Daphnia pulex: one gene and its partner. The protein of the gene in region 1 interacts with the protein of each later gene in a biochemical or structural test. Links are inferred from orthologs where the notes say so. Each region holds a gene or a part of one and is shown in the gene's direction. Other genes may lie near its edges. The genes, in order: mutS protein homolog 4-like and mutS protein homolog 5-like.

Region 1 (3,829 bases):
GGGAAGCAAAAAAACAAATCTGAACAGCGCACACAAAGTTGGTTCACTTGACAACAACACGATCCAGCTCGGGCGAAAGAAAGAGGAGTAAAACAAAATGCGGTGGTCTAATGAAACAATGGAAACTTTTCATCATGAGAGCCTCGGCTTCCAGTCCCCGTCAACTACTTGTTTATTCCAACCGGGCTGAACAACATTGTCTTGTATTTACTATACACATATTTCGTGTCGCGTGACTGAGCAAAATGGCATTTCTTTGTTTATGTGTTTTCTGCTTTTGGCTTTTTTTTTTGTTTTTAGTTTTCACAACTCTTTTGATGTGGTTGTTTATCTTTTGTATATTGGTCTGTGTGTGTCACCTCCGCTTGTGTGTTCTCGTTTTAGATTCGGAAACGGCCAACCGTCTGGAAGTGGTGAACAGTTTGAATCCAACGGGCGGGCCGTCTCTACTTTCGGCGTTGAATTCGTGCCAAACGGCGGCTGGTAAGCGGCTACTCCGCTCGAATTTACTGGAACCCATGACGGATGTGGAGGCCATCCGTCTACGTCTGGATGCCGTCGAGGAGCTTGCGTCACGTCCTACCGACCTCCATCAACCCATCAAGGTACGAAAACATAGTCACCAACTTATCAACCATTAAAAACAAACAAATAAAAGAGAAAAGATTAACAGGACCGGGTAGCAGGGGGGGATGGTGGGCGTAAAGCATTGCGTGCGTCAGCTTACCGATTGGATTCCTGGGGCCGGCCATCCTCGATTCCTCTTGTCTCTATTCTCACCCAAAACAAATCGAATTATTACCAGCCACCAGACAGATTCCCCGACTGTTACAGCCGCCGCGGCCGGCGGCCTAACCGACAGAACGGGGAATTGAGCGAAAGGCGGGCGCGGGATGAACGACGAGAAATAGATTGGTTCCATAGTCCCGGGATTGGCTTCTCTCTTTTCTTCATTGGCTCTTCCAGACCCGAAATGGAAACTTTCCTTTTCCTGCCCCATGTTATATAATATATATTAAGAATTACAAGATATATATGTGAGGAGGTCTAAGCTCCTTTGTCACGCGCTAAGCTGATGAGATTCCAATTAATTGTTTCCCTTTTTTTCTTTCTTTCTTTCTCTTTATCTCTTACCTTCTGGTTATTATCTTTTCCTTTTCTTCTTGCCTTTTTCTCTATTATTATTATTCTCTCGGATTCAATTATTTTTCTCATTGATTCGGACCCGAAAAGGCTACGTGAGATTTGGTTATTATAATTTTTCTTTTTGGTTTTGTTGTTGTAGGAGATTCTGTCCCGTTTCGTCGATGTTGAACGAGCCGTCAACCAGTGCGTCGTCATGCCCAAGAATCCTAGTCCGTCGTTCGTCGAGCAAAGGATCAACGCCGTCGTGGCCCTCAAGCACATCCTCTCTCTAGTGTCACCACTTGGATCCGCCCTGGCTAAAGCCAACAGCCCATTGATTGTCGCCTTGGCCAAAGTAACAACCGCTCCCATTTATTTCCGTAGCCCCCCCGAACAAAGTTTGTTTTTCAATTTTAAAAAAAGAACCGGAATATTTTTGGATAAAATATTGTCCTTGTTGTAGTGGCCGTTGGTCCGTGAAGAGGATCAATTCTATCACACTTCCATCACCGGAGAATCCAATATAAAAGTTTATAGGTACAGGGAGTAGATGGGTAAGAAGAAAAGAGATTCTCGTTTCCCTCTGGATGACGGTGTGACGGAGCGAAAGAGAGTTGTAGGCCCTCGGGAGCTCGACACGGGCTAGTTGTCCCGTTGATTGATTTCATCCTATATATGTGGGGTGTGTGTGTGTGTACCTGTTCCGAAACTTTACTGTCTGCAGGGCGTGTGGGTGTGGCTGGTTAGGCGTAAAAGACTCGCCAAGCGCAAAATAAAAAAAGAAGTCAAAGGTGGAACGTCGGTTGCCAAGAGACGACTCCGCCACTACTCGACCTTAAGAGTAGTCTGACAATAACACGGCAAATCACTTTTCAAATTTGGAAGAGAGTCTGGTTAGGAAGAAACTTTTTCTCTCTCGCTCATAAAGGACGGACCCCGTAACCTTTTTTCTCTTTCGTTCATTTTTTTTTGGCGTCCACATCTGCCCCATGTTCTCATTAGTGTCACAATCTCCGGGCCATTTCTTATTCTCTATGTGGAATTCGAAAGTAAAAGTTCATCATTCCCCCCCCCCCCCTAGTTTTTACGATGGGGAAATATTCACTTTTTCCAAAATCGCTATAGCCATGAAAAATCACCGAAAGTTGAAATTCCTTTTTCCTTTTTTGTTCTCCGCCGGAAGCAATTCCTTTTCAGTCCATCGGGTCGTATTATTATTTCCTATTGCCAAGCGTTTGTTCGTCAAATGCTTGAAATTCCATTATTGATCCGAGTAGTCGACAGGCGTCCTGCACAACAGATGAAATCATGAAATCCTTGTGCCTTGTGCGCGCGTATTCCTCCTTCGCAATTTCACTCGGGCCATATTACATTGAAAGGAGAAAGATAAGAGCATCAAGTCAGAACTGAATGGAGAGAGACATGTCCAAGTTGATTCTAAGGAGCTTTCACCCTCCCCCGTCTACTAGAGTTCTATGTGCAGTCCCGTCACCCAGCCCTTCTCCGTGATGATGGAACTTTGTATGTTGTAGGACATTGCATTATCTAGTCGACTGTCCGGACAATGCGGATTTCACCAAATGAAATTCCGGGGGATTTCATTTTCCAAAGGCTTCCATTTTCGAGTTGGTCCTTTTGTCGTTGTTTGACTTGTTGGTTGTCTGCAAGTGCGGAGATCTTTCGTGCTTTGATTTATTTTTCTCCTTTCTTTTTCTGCAATAATAAGGAGCTGTCCAGCATTGATGATGAGGCGCTGCTGTCGTGCATTCAAAACGTGTTGGACGAGCGAGTGAAACCTGTCAAAGGCAAAATAGGCATGCAACGCCAGCGATTCCGCAGCGTCAAAACTGGCGTCGATCTCATGTTGGACGTTTGTCGGCGGACTCACAGCGATCTCGAAACAGAGATGGAAGGCAAGTTCAAGTTTCATCCAACGCTCACACACACTGAATAATCAAACGGTGTGTCAAATGATTCATATAGTTCACGCGAACTTGAAAGTGAATACCATATAAATTTTCAATTCTCGGTAAAAGCCGGGAGTCGATTACAATCCGGAAGAGCTGCTAGACTGCCACCATTTCTCTCTTGTCGCGTGTACAGTACGTGAGCAACTTTTGTTTTCATCCTTTTGCCGTTTGCAGAGTACGTGGAGGAGCTGTCACAAAAGTACCAAATGCCGCTGACTTTGGCCAACACGGCACAGCGCGGCTATCACTTGCAACAGACGCTGGGCCAGCCGAGGAAGAAGGGAGAAACCAACTACCAACCTCCGCCACCTCCGCAACTGCCGCCCGTCTTTGTCTGCGTAAGTTTTCACTTGATTTTTCTATTATTTGCTCTCAAACAAATGCCGCCCAGCACCTAGTCGGATGAAAGAGAAAAATGGCAAAACAAAATGTGTTGATGGGAGCTGCTGCTGCAGAAAAGCGGGGACTTTTCGGTCGTCGTTGTTGGGCGTAGTGAAGCGCTAAAAAGTTTTGACGACTCTCGGACGGAATATAACTGCCGCCGGTTATTCGCGTTTCTCCGGCAGCACCTCGTTCGTTTCGAACCTTATGCCCCTGTTTGTCATTTTACGTCTACCACACGGTGGGAATGGGCCATTGGACCGACGGCATGATTAATAACTCGGTTTGAAGGTTTTTTCGGCCCGCAGATAACTAGGCAAAGAGTGTCGTAAACGGACCTGTTCCCTCGGCAA
Region 2 (3,126 bases), on another chromosome or scaffold:
TTAATTAATTTCCAAGAATCGAAACGTGCCGGACGATGTGTTGTTAACTCTGGAGTGGATGAAGACCTTGATCGGCGTAACCTTTTTTAAATAACAATCAAGTAATCTCATAAGTTGAATAATTGTTATATTTTTCCCCAATTTAATTAGTGAAACGGGAACACAGCAATATGCAACGCATTTACACTGAAACCGTTAATCTCGAAATGGAAAACCTACCGCCTTTTATTGAACAAGGCGTTATTGAATTTTTCCCACATGTAGGACATTGTTTGTGCCTTCGTTCGTGGCTCCAAAAAGATCCAAATAGAAATTTGACGACGGCTGAAAATGATGTTAACATACCAGGACTTGAACTGAAAGTAAGATGTGTTGCTTATTTGAATTGAGAGGTTTCTTTAAAGTAACTGTTTTATTTAGTTCTTTACAAAGGAGAACGTTTATTTCAAAAGCCGACGTTGTTATGGTGAGGTATTCTATATGGTGCGCCTATTTGTATAATGGTTACTTTTAATCAACAATTAATAGAACTCGACGAAACGTTTGGAGATTTTGCTGCGACAATTGTTGCGCATGAAATGTCCGTGATGCTGTCAGGCTCCAAAGTTGTTGTTGAACATTACGGTGCACTGACTGAAGGAATCGAATTGGCGGCATACCTAGACGCGTATTGTTGTATACAAATTCATGCAAATCTGTTATATTAATTGTATACTGCATTTATTCAGGCTTCTTAGCTTATCAGTTCTGAGCTCCGAATTCGAAATGGTTCAGCCAGAACTAGTTGAAAATGTTAATCCTTGTGTTCATATTGAGAATGGACGACATATTTTGCTACAACTCGTAGCCGAACGCTTCAATCCTAATTCAACATACCTTGGAGGATGTGACGAAGGAGCCAAACGTATCAATATTATTTCAGGCCCTAATTCAAGTGGCAAATCAATATTTTTGAAGGTAGTTTGAAATTTAAATTCACTAGTTTAATTCTTATTTTTGTTTTATTTATTCATTATTTTTTTAAATAAAATAATTTTGTATTAGCAAACTGCCCTGATTGTTTATTTGGCCCAAATTGGATGTTTTGTGCCAGCTCAACGTGCACTAATAACACCGCTGAAACATATCTTTGTTGTTAGCCATTCTCCTGAAACTGTAGTGACATCTTTATCGCATTTTGGTGTCGAACTCTCAATGGTAGGTAGACTAACAAATTAATTTTTTTATATAATGTTTTTTAATCGCACATTTAAAAAAAATATATTTTTACAGATGTCAATGGCATCAAGAATGGCGACGAGTCATTCTCTTGTCATATTAGACGAATTTGGAATCGGATCTTCTCATGTAGATGGTTCTGCAATGTTCATTTCGTGCATGGAACACTGGATGAAACAAAATGATAAAAGCCCTCTTCTGCTTGTCGCTACGCACTTACACAATGCCGTGGAGTATTTGTCCCGGCATACATGGGTTCTCCAAAATACTCGGTTCTTGTCCATGGGTTATTTTCTTGATGAAGAGCAACTCGTTTTCCTGTATCAGCTTATTGAAGATATGTGCACAAATAGTTTTCCTTTAAGTGTCGCGTATGCTTCCGGATTGCCTAATTTTGTCATAAAGCGAGCTCAAGAGGTTAGTTATGTTTTTTTAACAAGAAAATATGACCATTTTTATGTTTTTTCGTGAATATTTCTAGATGCTGAAAGCAGTTGACAGTGTTGGTAATATGACACCCAATAACCTAATATGGAATGATGCAAAATGCTCAACTTTACGCAGAATTTCAGAGTCTTTCTTCGCAACTGATCCTTGGAATGTTGACGATTTAAAGCAGTTTACAAGACGAAATATTCTTGGATGTTGGAGTTCCGTTCCGAATAACTAACAATTATTTTGTCATAAAATCTATAAGTGATTGCGTTACCAATTTTCATTTTTGAAGTGATACATGTGTAAACTGTAAACTATATGTTACCAAGAACAAGAACAAATTTCATCCTCAAAATGAACTAAAAATTCCATTAATGCTGCAAGAATTATTTAATATTAACTACTAAGCCAGAAACGATACACACCACTTTCAAATCTCAGCTTGACGATCATGAATGTGTATTCGCTATTACATGTCTATCGCAAGACCATTTAAAAATAATGTTCGAAAATGAAGTTTTCTGAAAACGTCCAAATTCAAGTCCGTGATATGCTTTCAATTGCAGTCCACGGCAAATAGGGCAGTAAGAATTGCTACATCATTAAGAAACCGTGATTGATAAAACTTGTGAACGTACCAAAATATTACAAACAGGTAAAACGACACAAGCCACACTTACGCACATACTACGCTGAAAGAATTGACAAATACATCTTATATTCGCGGTCTAATTACCATTACCCTTGTGAACAAAAAAATACATCCCCTCCCAAGCCATTCAATCAAAAGGCCTGTTCAGTACCATCTGCTTAGCTACGAGTAGAAAATTTTACTTGTAGAATATTTTCAAACATCCAATCCAATTGCATTCGGCCATAGAATATGGCGTATAGCTCGACAATCAGAAAACACAACTAGAAGTTGCGTGTAAATAAGTTTTTGAACCATGGTACTTTCCTAATCACACCGACGATTACAGAATATGACATTTCAAAGGACGGAGCTTGCCGCCTGGCTTTTTCTGTTTGTCTCGGCCTCGGCGTTCCTTCTAAAAACAAAAAAAAAAACAAAAAATAAAAAAAAAACACCACAACAATTATTATTCCATACATACTTCACTTGTTTTTAATCAAATGAACATGTTTTAAACATTATTCACAAATAATAATACTATTTAATAATAGTAGAAAGTAAAAACTTACATCTTTGCGTATCTCTCTTACTAAAGTGTAGAATGCATCATCTACACCCATGCGAGTCTTGGCAGATGTCTCAACAAAAGGTATTCCATAATTTTTTGCAGCTTCCCTTGCTGAGGCCATATCAACAGCACGAGTGGGTAAGTCACACTTGTTGCCAACCACTATTGACAATTAAAAAAACAAAAAAATAAAAAATAAATTGTGCCCACAGGTAATTCTGTTAAAATAAAAAAAAATGTGTACTTACAAACCATGGGAACTTCTTCAGCA

What was found.
Region 2: the proteins of mutS protein homolog 4-like (region 1) and mutS protein homolog 5-like form a complex in vitro, tested with the Homo sapiens proteins (2 studies listed by BioGRID). The link is inferred for Daphnia pulex from reciprocal best matches to the Homo sapiens genes MSH4 and MSH5.

The regions. Positions count from the first base shown.
Region 1 is NC_060021.1:11,182,524-11,186,352, forward strand, and holds part of mutS protein homolog 4-like, read left to right. Parts: intron 1-384; coding exon 385-605; intron 606-1,285; coding exon 1,286-1,480; intron 1,481-2,851; coding exon 2,852-3,038; intron 3,039-3,269; coding exon 3,270-3,433; intron 3,434-3,829. UniProt on the Homo sapiens protein: Involved in meiotic recombination. Required for reciprocal recombination and proper segregation of homologous chromosomes at meiosis.
Region 2 is NC_060019.1:5,055,267-5,058,392, reverse strand, and holds the end of mutS protein homolog 5-like, read left to right. Parts: coding exon 1-76; intron 77-150; coding exon 151-362; intron 363-420; coding exon 421-466; intron 467-528; coding exon 529-667; intron 668-728; coding exon 729-957; intron 958-1,044; coding exon 1,045-1,197; intron 1,198-1,272; coding exon 1,273-1,635; intron 1,636-1,699; coding exon 1,700-1,888; 3' UTR 1,889-2,395; downstream 2,396-3,126. Other genes in the region: GTPase HRas, read right to left, coding at 2,628-2,702, 2,857-3,017, 3,104-3,126.